Linked DNA regions of Anolis sagrei. The protein of the gene in region 1 interacts with the protein of each later gene in a pairwise test. Links are inferred from orthologs where the notes say so. Each region holds a gene or a part of one and is shown in the gene's direction. Other genes may lie near its edges.

Region 1 (7,043 bases):
TGGCGTCCCCTGGGCAACATCCTTGCAGACAGCCAATTCTCTCACAACAGGAGCGGTCGCTCCTGACACGACAAAAAAAAATTAGAATTATATATTTACATTACATGTAATATTACTAATAATATTACAATATAATGGTATAGTACAATATAGTAATATATAATACTGATATTTTACTATGCTAATAATATAATATATTGTATGAAAATATATATTGTAAGGCGCTCTGAGTCCCCTTTGGGGTGAGAAGGGCGGCATATAGATGCCGTAAATAAATAAATAAATGTATTGTCGAAGGCTTTCATGGCTGGAATCACTAGGTTCTTGTAGGTTTTTTTCGGGCTATAGGGCCATGTTCTAGAGGCATTTCTCCTGACGTTTCACCTGCATCTATGGCAAGCATCCCCAGAGGTAGTGAGGTCTGTTGGAAATAGGACAATGGGTTTATATATCTGTGGAATGACTGGGGTGGGGCAAAGAGCTCTCTGCTGAAGCTAGGTGTGAATGTTTCAACTGACCACCTTCATTAGCATTTGAAGGCCTGCCTGAGCCTGGGAAAATGTTCTGTTGAGCGGTGTTAAGATGTGCCTGGTTGTTTCCTCTCTGCTGTTTTGCTGTTGTAATTTTAGAGTTTTTTTAATACTGGTAGCCAGATTTTGTTCATTTTCATGGTCTCCTCCTTTCTGTAGACTCCTGCAGAGGTGAGAGGACCCCTCTTGTCCTTTGCTGAACGTAGCATTTGTTGGATTTTCTTGGTGGGTTTGTAGATTGTTTGTATGTTATGTTTCCTCAGCTGGTAAGCTGGAGCACCTGATGAACCAGCCTGGAATAAATAAATATTTTGGGATTTTCTGCCTTGATATTTTGGGGTCCCTTCCACACAGTGGAATAAAATCCCACATTATCTGCTTTGAACTGGGTTATATGGCAGTGTGGACTCGGATAATCCAATTCAAAGCAGATACTGTGGGACTTTCTGCCTTGATATTCTGGGATGTAAAGCTGTATGGAAGGGCACTTATCAAGTCTTCAGTCCTGCCGGCACAGGCCTTTAACCCACTGCGCCAGCGGGGGCATAATAATTATAATATTGTATTATTACTACTATCTGTTTTGAACTAGGGGCCCTTCCACACAGCCCTATATCCCAGAATATCAAGGCAGAAAATCCCACAGTATCTGAGTGTGAACTCAGATAACCTAGTTCAAAGCAGATACTGTGGGACTTTCTGCCTTGATATTCTGGGATGTAGCGCTGTATGGAAGGGCACTTATCAAGGTAGAAAATCCCACAATATCTGCTTTAAACTGAGTCCACACTACCATATATTCCAGTTCAAAGAAGATATTATGGGGTTTTATTCAGCTGTGTGGAAGGGGCTTAAGTATAGAGAGATAAAGCGGAATATAAATAAATAAACAAAATAAAATCTCTATGAATTTCACAGTCTTCCTAGGCAAGGGATACATTGAGATGGGCTGCTCTGAAATATAGCCCACAGCGCCTGGTATTCCTTGGCGGTCTCCCACCCAAGCGCTCACCAGGGTCGACCCTGCTTAGCTTCCAAGACCAAACGGCTCCCGCTGCCTCCAGGCTGCTGAGGCGAGAAGAGAAAACGCGCTTTACCTGTCCGAAATTGAGTCCCAACCGCCGCCGCGACGAGTGCTGTGCCAGTCAGTGCCCAAGCTTGACAAGGAGGGTCTGGGGAGATGCGGAGGCGCTGGCGAAGCCCTGGCGAAGCGCTCGTGTCCCGCCCCAAACCGCGAGCGGCCAAAGGTGGAAGTTCCCTGCTGGAGCTCTTGAGGTTGCCGTGTATGTTGTTACCGGAAGTGACGCTCCCCTCCTCGTCCGTCGCGGAAAGCAACAGCCGATTCGCCTTCGCAGATTCCGCTGTCAATTTGAGGAGGCTTAAGCGTCCTAGGATATACTATCAGATTTTAATTTTTTAATAGCGGTGGGCCGAGCTGAGTTAAAGGTAGCTCTCCGCATAACTGAGCGTTGTTCTCAAAAAAAAATTTTTTGACAAGCGAGTGAGGTTTGACGAATCTGCCGATTGGGAAACGCCGGATGGTTTCGATTTCCCGCGGGAGAGCTCAAAACAGCTGCTCCGTCTGGGAGATAAGAGCTGTGCCTTCCCTCCGTGTGTGGAAGGGCCCCTGCCATTCCGCTGCACAGAACCTCACACTTTCTGCTTTGAACTGGAATATATGGCAGTGTGGACTCAGGACCCTTCCACACAGCCCTATATCCCAGAATACCAAGGCAGGAAATCCCACAAACTGAGTTATCTGAGTCCAAACTCAGATAATATGGAATTTTCTGCCTTGATATTCTGGGATATAGGGCTGTGGGGAAGGCCCCTGAGTCCATACTGCAATACATTCCATTTTATCTGAGTTTGGAGTCAGATAACCCAGTTTAAAGTAGATACTGTGGGATTTTCTGCCTTGATATTCTGGGTTATATGGCTGCGTGGAAGGCCCCTCAGGGTCCTTCCACACAGACATATAACCCAGAATATCAAGGCAGAAAATCCCACAGTATCTGCTTTGAACTGGGTTATCTGAGTCCAGCCCACGCTGCCAGTTCAAAAAAGATAATGTGGGATTTTATTCAGATGTGTGGGAGGCCACAGCCCCTCCCTAACAGGATCTGATCCCAAGTTTTCTGTTTTAAACTGGATTATATGAGTCCGCATTGCCAGATAATCTGGGATAAACTGAAAACCTGGGATCAGATCCTGGAATATAAGGCCTGTCTGGAAGGGCCCTGAGGTCCCTTCCCCACAGCTGAATAAAATCCCACGTTATCTGCTTTGAACTGGGATATATGGCAGTGTGGATTCAGATAAGGAAAGAATAGTTAGAGGATTTTTTTTAAAAAATGCACAAAAACTCTTGAACACAACTGTCGCTGTGATTCAGCACTGGCTTGATACTCAGGGCCCTTCTACACAGTCCCTATATGCCAGGATCTGATCCCAGGTTTTCTGCTTTAAACTGGATTATAAGAGTTCGCACTGCCAGATAATCTGGGATAAACAGAAAACCTGGGATCAGATCCTGGGATATAGGGACTGTGTGGAAAGACCCTCAGAGGTCTATAAACAGCTCACAGCCTGCGTAAGGGCTGAGTGTGGACTCAGATAATCCAGTTGAAAGCAAATATTGTGGGATTTTGTTCCTTTATATTCTAGGTTATATGACTGTGGAAGGGTCCTCAGACAGGACCTATATCCCAGAATCTGACCCCAGGTTTTTTTTTTTTGCTTTAATCTGGATTATATAAATCCACACTGTTGGATAATCTGGGATAAACAGAAAATCTAGCTTCAGATCCTGGGATATAGGGCCTGTCTGAAAAGGGCCTCAGGGACCTTCCACCAAGCCATAGAACCCAGAATATCAGGGCAGAAAATCGCACAATATCTGCTTTGAACTGGGTTATCTGAGTCCACACTCAGATGTGGGATTTCCTGCCTTGATATTCTGGGATATAGGTCTGTGTGGAAGAACCCTGGTTTATCTGAGTCCACACTGCCATATATTCCAGTTCAAAGCAGAAAATGTGGGATTTTATTCAGCTGTGTGGAAGGGGGCACAGAGGGAAGGAATAATACATTAAACTACACAGCTGTAAAACTAATGATCCAGATAATATATAAAACATATGCCTTAGGAAAAAAATATCTGATCAATACATGTAATCAAAATTATTAAACAAGGTCACACTAAAATTCCAACAAAACTTTAGATCTCCTTAACTGGTGAGCCTTTAAGGCCTTTAGCAACTTTATAAATATGCATTTACCTACATAATTAAACTGATTGGTCGCATTTATTTGTGATTTATGCCCAGTATAAGCTTGAATAATATGCATTATATTCCTGTAGTTTTTGAAATTAATATCTATCAGCCACATCAAACTTTCTTCCTTCCCAACTGTCCTTAAATGCTGGGGGCATGTGAATGAAACCTGCTCAAATCTCGGCAGAGGAAGATTTCTCGCGAGACCTCCGTGCTTTATACTCTCCCGTCCCCAAAGAATCTATGGAAGTCTCGCGATGATACGGCAAGCAACCATCGCGAGAAAGGTTTGAGTGTCGAGCGCGCCGTTCGACCCGCCGGAGGCAAGGTAGTTGAGGTGTTGTTTTGATGGGGCTCGCGTCTGTCAGTCAGGGAGTGAGTGAGTGATTCGGTGTTTGGTATGTAAAAGATGATGTGCTGTGTGCCAAATGCTCGGTGATGGCTGTGGCAGGGGCTTGCTGTCGTTAAATCTAGAAATACTGGATTCGGAGAGCCTTGTATTCCTGTCTCGCCATATGAGACGCCGGGGAACACAAACAAGACCTCCCTGTTTTCCCCGCCGGCCCATCTGTGTTCTTTGGGGCGTAATATAATAATAATAACACTTTATTTATATTCCGCCCTAATCCCAGAGGGGACTCAGAGCAGATTGCGCATATAAACAGACACAGGCAAACATTCAATATCTTGTTACAAAGAAATACAATGACACAAATACAGAGGCAAAGGCTTCTCCTTTCATTTCCGGCTCTGGAGGTGGTGCTCATCTCCGGCTCTGTGGGAGGTGCTTATCTCAATTTCCAAGCTATTTATTTATTTATCCTGTCAGTATTACATTGTATTACATTTTTAACAAACAGACAAAACAGAGTTTGCAAGCCGAGGAGTCTGCATTGTCCGTAGACACATCCTGGTCGTGTGGCTGGCATGACTGCATGGAGTGTCATTGCCTTTCCTGCTAGGTTGGCAGGAACTAGGGCTCACCCTGCCCCACGTATTCGAACTGCCAACCTTCAGATTAGTTCAGCAGCACTAGGTTTGCACAGATCATGATGATAAGGTTTGGTATTAATGTTAGGAGTGTAGACTCATATGATGGAGCTTATGGAAGAAACAGGAGCATTTATTCTTCTCCATTGTGTATTCTTCTCTATTATGTACTGGGGATCACAACCAGACACAGTGAAGACATCTGCCCTTGCACTATGCTACTCTGCTGCTGAGTATGTATGCCCAGTGTGGAACACATCTCACCACGCTAAAACAATAGATGTGGCTCTTAATGAGACATGCCGCATTATCACGGGGTGTCTGCGCCTTACACCACTGGAGTAATTACACTGTTTAGCCGGTATTGCACCACCTGACATCCGCCGGGAAGTAGCAACCAATAGTGAAAGGACCAAGGCAGTGACATCTCCAGCTCATTCCCTGTTTGGATATCAGCCAGCACGTCAACGACTTAAATCAAGAAATCGTTTTCTAAGATCTACAGAGACACTCGCTGGAATACCTCAGCAAGTGAGAATCCAAAAGTGGCAGGCTCAAACCCAGCACCTCAATCCATGGGTGATACCAGATGAGAGACTCCCCCCTGGGCACACAGAAAACTGAGCGACTTGGAAGATGCTGAACAGACTGTGCTCTGGCACCACGAGATGCAGAGCCAATCTTAAGAAATGGGGCTACAAAGTATGGAGAAGAGCAAACTACAGACCACCTCCTGCAATGCAACCTGAGCCCTGCCACATGCACGATGGAGGACCTTCTTGCAGCAACACCAGAGGCACTCCAAGTGGCCAGCTACTGGTCAAAGGACTTTTAATCAACTACCAAGCTTGCAAACTTTGTGGTTTGTTTGTTTGTTAAAAAATGCAATGCAACTGTTTGGTCTGCCCCTTACACGATAAATATGTTTGGTCTGCCCCTTACACAAATATAAATATGTATTATCTCAGATCCCAAGGATAAGAAAGTAGCTAAGTAGAAATAGGCTTAGATTGGCAGCTATTGGCAGCTATTTAGAGACTTTCCAGTGAATAGCATATGACAGGTTAATCACAGAAAAGAGACAGGCTGGCAGTGGCATAACATGGTGTTGTAGGATGGGGATCATCACCTGGCTTCAATGTCAGTTTGCCTTCCTTAAGTGATAAAGTTTCCTATTATTTTCTCTCCTTAAAACTGTATCAATTTGTGGTTAGAGCATTTGACTAGTACTCCGGAGACCCGGGTTTGAATCCCTCCTTTGGCCATGGAAGTCCAATGAGGCAAAGTCACACTCAGCCCTAGAAATCACAACACATAACAACCACAAATGTGTAGACCTGCCATGGAGAAGTGGATAAATACCATATTATCCTTTGTGTTTTGAAGCAAGAAACACCAACCCTTTGGACAGTACTAATTAAGGGTGCTTCTACATTGATAATGCAGTTTGATGCCACTTTAATTGCCATAGTTCGATGCGATAGAATCCTGGAAGTTGTAGTTTTCTGAGGCCTTTTTCCTGTTCTCACCAAGCTGCAGCTCTCAGGATTCCATATCCTTGAGCCATGGCAGTTTACAGGCCCTTCTACACAGCCATATAATACCCAGAGTATCTGCTTTCAACTGGATTATCTGGCAGCATAGACTCAGTTAATCCAGCTCAGAGCAGTTAATGTGGATTATATGATTTGATAACCTGGATTGTTTGGCAGTATAGAAGGGGCTTTCGTAGCGCCAATCTGCATTAACTCTACAGTACATGAACCTGTTGTTGTCTTAGGAGTATATTTTTAGAGGTAGCCAACGAGGCCTTACAGGAAAACAAGGTCTAAATAGCAATGCTTTCATTGCTTTAGAAAGCCTTTGGTTTTTTTTTAGAAAGTCCTCCCACCGAGGGCCCTTCCAGACAGGATCTGATCCCAGATTTTCTGCTTTAAACTGGATTTTATGAGGGCTCTTCCAGACAGGCCCTATATACAGAAGAGTCTCGCTTATCCAACCTTCACTCATCCAACATTCTGTATTATCCAACAGTCTGCTTCCTGCCTGGATTCACAGCTGTTTCAATACATTGCAATGTTTTCGTGCTAACTTAGTAAATATGATCATTATTACATAACGTTGCCATGTATTGAACTGCTTTCTCTGTCAATTTGTTGTAAAACACGATGTTTGGGTGCTTAATTTGTAAAATAACGTAATTTGATGTTTAATAGGCTTTTCCATATTATCCAACATTTTTGCT
Region 2 (6,844 bases), on another chromosome or scaffold:
TTGATGGATTCATTTCAGCTTGTTCAGACTGATGACATGGACAAGATCCTTGGAATAGTGAGAGCGATTACATGTATGCTAGATCCTTGCCCTTCCTGGCTTATCAAACTTGCCAGTGGGGGACTAGCTGAGTGGTTTACGGGGATTATAAATGTCTCATTGGAACAGGGACAAATACCATCGAGCCTTAAAAAAGAAATAGTGAGACCTATTCTAAAGAAGGTGTCTCTAGATTCCTTGGCACTGAACAACTACCGGCCAATTTCTAATCTTCCTTTTTTGGGCAAGGTTCTAGAGTGAGTGGTAGCTTCTCAGCTCCAGGGATTTTTGGATGAGACTGATTATCTTGATTCTTCACAGTCTGGTTTTAGGCCTGGTCAAGGTACAGAGATGGCATTGGTCGACTTGGTGGATGACCTCCGCAGAGAGCGAGACGGGGGAGTGTGTCCTTGTTGGTTCTCTTGGACATCTCTGCGGCTTTCGATACCATCGACCATGGTATCCTTCTGAGGCAGCTCTCCAGAATGGGTCTTGAGGGCATTGCTCTGCAATGGCTCTGCTTCTTCTTGGAGGATCACACTCACTGGGAGACACCTGCTTGAACCCCTGGCCATTGACCTGAGGGGTCCCGCAAGGTTCCATTATATCTCCCACACTTTTTAACATCTACATGAAATTGCTGGGAGAGGTCATCCAGAGTTTTGGAGTTGGGTGCCATCTGTATGCAGATGAAAACTCTACTACTGTTTTCCACCGAATTCCAAGGAAGCCTCTCTGATCCTGAACCAGTGCCTGGCAGTCTTGATGGATTGGATGAGGGCTAACAAGCTGAAGCTTAATCCTGCAAGACAGAGGTCCTCCTAGTCAGTCGTGAGACCGATCAGGATATCGGGTGGCAACCTGTGCTTGACAGGGCAACACTCCCCCTGAGGACACAGGTCCGCAGCTTGGGGGTCCTCCTGGACTGAGTGCTGATGCTTGATGCCCAAGCGTCAGTGGTGGCCAGGAGGGCCTTTACACAGTTAAAGCTTGTGCACCAGCTGTGGCCATACCTCGAGAAGCCTGATTTGGCCATAGTGGTCCATGCCTTGGTTACATCCAGATTGGATTATTGCAATGCACTCTACATGGGCTGCCATTGAAGACGGCCCAGAAACTGCAACTGGAGCTAATTATAGGGAGTGCATGAAATGCCTATTAATACAGCTCCACTGCCTGCTGATAAGTTTCTGGTCCCAATTCAAGGTGCAGGTTATGACTTACAAAGAGCAACTTGAGAAACTGCAAGTTGCTTTTGGTGTGAGAGAATTGGCCGTCTGCAAGGACATTGCCCAAGGAACGCTCTGATGTTTTTTGATGTTTTATCATCCTTGTAGGAGGCTTCTCTCATGTTACCTGCATGAGGAGCTGGAGCTGACAGAGGGAGCTCATTCACACTCTCCTCAGATTCAAACCTCTAACCTGTTGGTCTTCAGTGCTGCTGGCACAAGGGCTTAACCCATTGCGCCACCGGGGGCTACAGGTCATATGATGTGTTCTGCATCCAACTTGAATAGGTCGGGTGAGAGTATACAACCCTGCCGAACGCCTTTCCCAATCTTGAACCAGTCAGTTGTTCCGTGGTCTGTTTTTACTGTTGCTACTTGGTCCTTATACAGATTCCTCAGGAGACAGACAAGGTGGTTTGGTATCCCCACACCACCAAGAACTTGCCACAATTTATTATGATCCACACAAAGGTTTTAGAATAGTCAATAAAACAATAATCAATAAGGGGATAGATAGATAGATATAAGGGATTAAATAAGACCATCCTCATGACTGAACAATTATAATAAGCATAGCAAGAGTAGTAGCTGCTTTTAACCTTTATAGACCAAAACGGTTCTGGCCCAGACTACCTGACCGAACGTATCTCCTGCCATGAACCATCACGAAGTTTAAGATCTTCAGGAGAGGCCCTACTCTTGATCCCACCACTATCACAAACACGGTTGATGGGGACGAGAGACAGGGCCTTCTCAGCAGTGGCCCCCCGCCTATGGAACACCCTCCCTAGAGATATCAGATTGGTCACCTCCCTCTTGTCTGTCAGAAGGAAAATCAAGACTGGGTTTTGGGACCAAGCGTTTGATCAGTGAGCAGCAAGTGGAAGAAGATCACACAACTTATGGCAATGAATTGACCTGGACTGGTTTTTGGATTTCGATTTTAATGGATGTGTCTTCATTAATAGTTTTAATTGTTGTTTTAATTTTTAATATTTTGATTGTACTGTGGTTGTTTTTATGATGCTAGCATCGTATGATGCCTTTGTTAGGCCACCCTTTGGGGGGAGAAGGGCGGGGTATGATCTTAACTTCCTGGAGGGTTCGTAGGAAGAGATGCGTTCGAACCCTCCAGGAAGTTAAGATCATCTGAGGAGGCCCTGCTCTCGATCCCGTCTGCTTCGCAAGCATGCTTGGCGGGGACGAGAGACAGGGCCTTCTCTGTGGTGGCCCCTCGGCTGTGGAACTCCCTGCCTAGGGATATTAGATCAGCCCCCTCCCTCCTGGCCTTCCGTAAGAGAGTGAAAACCTGGCTCTTCGAGCAGGCATTCGGAACCCCGGAATAGTCAAGCTTGAGATGGAGAATGACCCAGGAATGGCCAAAACGACGAAACGGATGAGGATTGGAATGAGAGGATATCGCTCTTTTTAAATTGTTATTTTTTTGTCTAAATGCACTTAATTGTTTTTGCTTTTGTATTGTATTGATGGCATTGAATTGTGCCGATATGTAGACCGCCCTGAGTCGCCTGCGGGCTGATATGGGCGGGATATACGTGATGTAAATAAATAGATAAAAATAATAGTCAAGGGTAGCAGTTATCAGGAAGGAATGGGGAGGTGGTGAGATTGGGGGAAAAATACTTGTACTTCAATTGTTGAATTTCGAAGATTGTATGTCTCTATGTATGTATATATAATTTTAAAACATTTAAAAAAAAAAACAGAAAAAGTGGTCCAAAATCGCATTAATTCCACCATGTGGAGACACCCCGACGTGAATGCCATGCCTGCTTCATAGACATCTCGCTTGAGGTATTTTTCCTCACAATATCTGAAATAATTTTGCACATGAAATGTTGGGAGTGCAGCATTTTTGAATTCTTATGTAAGGCATGCTCACCCTGTATTGTATTTCTGCTTTTCTGAGAGAACCATCGTGCTGCTCTTATATAATACGCATTCCCTCGTCTTTGGGGAGGAAACGCTTTGGCGCCTCAAAGCTCGGCGCGAGCTCCCCCTATCGACCACAAGGCGACAAAGACCGGCTCACAAGCTCGTTCTGTTTCTGAGGTTAAAAAAAAAAGAGTCGCTTTTATAGCCTCGACCTTGCCCTCCCTCCCGCGCGTGCGGTCAGGCCAACTAATCAAAATGCGTTTCCGCGAGACGGATAGGTAGTCAGAGCCAATCCGATTTAAACTCAAGGAAAGGTGGGGTCACAACGCGCGAGCCGCGTGTTGATTGGTCAGGCGGAGAAAAGCCGCGGCCGGCTTAGAAACTTTTTTTGAAGTCGTTCCCACTGTTAGGATTGCCAAGCACATGCAGCTACGCGCGGGCCAATAGGAAGGCGGCTTTCTCGTTACGTCAGTCATCCCCGCCCCTTCGGAACAGCCAAGTGCCTTGATAGCATAGCTCGCCTTCGCTCTGACAACAGAGGAAGGAAATAGCTGCGTGAGGAAACCCGGAAGTCGAGGCGTTCCGTCACTTCTATCTTTTCTCTATGGATTCCCCCCCCCCATAGAGTTGCGAGGGTTAGAATACGACGGTCCTCCGGAAGTGGGCGTTAAAACCTAACGGATATTAAGCGCTTCAGCCAGTCAGACTCGGAGACTGTAGCCTTTCCTTCTCCGGCGGCAGCTGCCGCATTGGCTCTCCGGAAGAGAGATGGTGAGATTTAAAAACAGGTGAGCCGCATGGAGCCGGAGCACTTCAAACGAGATGAAACCGTGTTAACCATCCAGTGTAGATGTAGCCCAAGTCTCAACATGAAGTTGATGTATATCCTTCATAGACTCTTTCAGCTACATATAGCCTGATGGTCACTGCAGACGGAAAAAGTTGAGTAAAAATATATTTCCTGTTTTAGAGATTGTAAACGCTTTAAAAGTAAATTAAAATCATGTAAAATAGAATACTTTTAAAATTATGCAAAATAGAATACTTTTAAAATTATGCAAAATAGAATATTTTTAAATCATGTAAGATAGAATATTTGAAATACTTTGAAGTCATGTCAAATGTAATATTTGAAATCGTGTCCAATGTAACACTTTTAATCATGCCAAATATAATTGCAATTACTTAAAATATATTTTTAATCCAATAAAATATGTTTTACACAATAATGTAAACTACAGTATTGAGGGAGATGTAGTTTTAAAAGGGAATTTTAAATATAAAAAAAAGTCTTTTAAATCTTTTACAAATATTCAGCTACTTGTGTACCTCTTGTGGAGAGCATCTTCTCGATCTAGCCATTGGCCATTTGGGAGAAGTTCCTTTGAGGGGACTACAACTCCCAGAACCCCCCAGTCAGGATATATATAACCCAGGTGAGGCACTTTTTCTAAGCCCTGCCATTGCATTGTGGAGAGAAAAAAGCGGGGTATAAACATAATGAACATAATAATAATAATAATAATAATAATAATAATAATAATCCTTTAAATAATAATTTTAAAATGACCTTCAGGCTCTGTGTATATTGACCAGAAATTGATTCCATGTTTAGGCTTGAGTCCCATCTCCAATCTACACTGTCGAATTAATGCTGTTGATGTGACTGCCATGGCTCCATGCTATGGAATCAGGACAGTTGTCGATTGGCAGGGAAGATGGGAGACTTTTTCAAAATGTGCCAGACTACAACTCCCAGAATCCCACAGCATGGAGCCACTGCAGTTCAAGTGGTCCCAAACAGTAATTCATTCTAGTGTGGATGCAGCTAGTTTGTTCAGTTCCTGTGACGGCCGTCCCTTTTGTTTTCGCAGGTACTTCCTCTGTGAGATACTGTGTGAAGACCCGCGTTGCCGCCAGCTCATTGAGGAGCGCACGGTGCACAGTGCAGTGAAGAACATAGTGGGCCGGATGTATGGCGACTTCGGCTTGGCCTGCTGCTCCATTGCCTTTTCAGGTCGGTAGCTCTCTCCTTCCTTAGGAGAAACTAGTTGAAGCTCCTCTCGAGTTTCTTCCAATAGTCTGCGATTTTGTGCAGTTACCAAAGACAACCTGCAACTACTTAACAATGAAGCAAGCAGCCCAAAGTGTCCCAAAATCTTCCGAGTCTTTTGATAGTAAACCATTCAGGAAAGCTTTGCTTTTTCCCTGCCCAATGCAACATTGCTCTCTTCTCATTTCTGCCCCCAGTGAAGTACCTCAATGCCTACACTGGGATCGTCCTCTTATGTTGCCGAAGAGACTTTTATCGGCTCCTTGGGTCGTCGTTGCCTTTTATCACTCACTTAGAGAACAAGAACCAGCGCTATCCCTGTTCATTTAATATGCTGCATATTGGAGGTGAGTTCTCTTTTTAATAATAATAATAATAATTTTATGCCTCTCCTTGTGGCTTGAGGCAGGTCACAGAATAACTAAAACATAAACATTGTGAAAGTACTGCAAAACCACATATTAAAATGTATTTCTATAAAAGCTACTATTAAAGCACATTAAAATACACAATACAGAGATTAAACACAAGACAGGCATTTAACATTCATGCTTAAAGACTTGCTGGGTAGGCCTGCTGGAAGAGATCAGTTTTTACATGGTTTCTAAATTCCGACAGCTGATCTGTCAGAGCTCTATTGGCAGGTCATTTCACAGTCCTGGGGTGGCTGATGAAAAAGTCCTTTTAAAAGCATGATCACTGGCCCATTAAAACACCTGAAGCCTTGACATTTGGTCTTTGTGTGGTTAAGTTATAGTGTGCCCCAACTTTATGGCAATTAACCAGTTTGGGGTTTTTTTCACAGTACGCAGTTACAACATTTGGCTCTCACTTTAACTGCCATGGCATTTGGAGATTGGCAGTTATTTGGAATTCTCAGCCAAACTCACACTCCACAGGATGCAGCCACTGCATTAAATTGAGACTAATTGCTCTGTAATTGCATAGTGCAGAGAACTTACTCCTTCAAGACATCACAGGGGTTCATACTGTTTCTTCTCAGCCAAGAGTCCTTATCTATGGTTTCTGACACACTGCTGATTTGTTCTTTCTCAGCCACAATCCGCACCTGTCAGAAATTCCTAATTCATTACAACCAGGACCATCTGCTGTCGGTGCTAGACAATTGCACCAGTGAAGGTAAATCCACTGCTTATTTCCTGGAACAGACTGAAAATGAGACCAAGGTTTCAAGATACCTAGGGCCATCTAATAGGGGATGGAACATGGTAAGATCTCTGCCAATAAATCCAAAACGATGGGCCAGCTGTCCTCTACACAAATGGCTCCCTGGCATATTTGGGGCTGGTTGAGAAGCCGTATCAAGCACAGCGTGTGTTGAGAGCTCTTCTTCCTACTTGTTGTAGCAGACAAACAAGCCATCCAGGAGTCAGTCCAGAGCTGGGCGCTTGAAGGAGAGTCATCCTTTGAGAGCAAAGATGAAAGTGAGGACAGCACGGCGATGGATTGAGCCGCTCCTCTCCTCCAGACAGCCATAACAGACAGTCTCAACGGTGCTTCCCAGCAAGAGTGAAACCCCTCCCTCCACTCTCTTTTGCCTGTGTTGATTTTATGTGTTGATAAAATAAGTTAAAAACAAAGAGTAGTCATCTAGTTTCTACCTATT

What was found. The genes of interacting proteins can lie anywhere in the genome.
Region 2: the proteins of CEP44 (region 1) and POP5 interact in binary tests that used the Homo sapiens proteins (3 or more experiments, as listed by UniProt). The two-hybrid records come from large-scale screens. The link is inferred for Anolis sagrei from reciprocal best matches to the Homo sapiens genes CEP44 and POP5.

Annotation. Positions count from the first base shown.
Region 1 is NC_090025.1:61,100,077-61,107,119, forward strand, and holds the start of CEP44 (centrosomal protein of 44 kDa), read left to right. Parts: upstream 1-4,035; 5' UTR 4,036-4,136; intron 4,137-4,155; exon of another isoform or gene 4,156-4,206; intron 4,207-7,043. UniProt on the Homo sapiens protein: Centriole-enriched microtubule-binding protein involved in centriole biogenesis. In collaboration with CEP295 and POC1B, is required for the centriole-to-centrosome conversion by ensuring the formation of bona fide centriole wall.
Region 2 is NC_090034.1:46,557,669-46,564,512, forward strand, and holds POP5 (ribonuclease P/MRP protein subunit POP5), read left to right. Parts: upstream 1-3,822; 5' UTR 3,823-3,932; coding exon 3,933-3,952; intron 3,953-5,038; coding exon 5,039-5,181; intron 5,182-5,414; coding exon 5,415-5,564; intron 5,565-6,273; coding exon 6,274-6,357; intron 6,358-6,584; coding exon 6,585-6,688; 3' UTR 6,689-6,818; downstream 6,819-6,844. UniProt on the Homo sapiens protein: Component of ribonuclease P, a protein complex that generates mature tRNA molecules by cleaving their 5'-ends. Also a component of the MRP ribonuclease complex, which cleaves pre-rRNA sequences.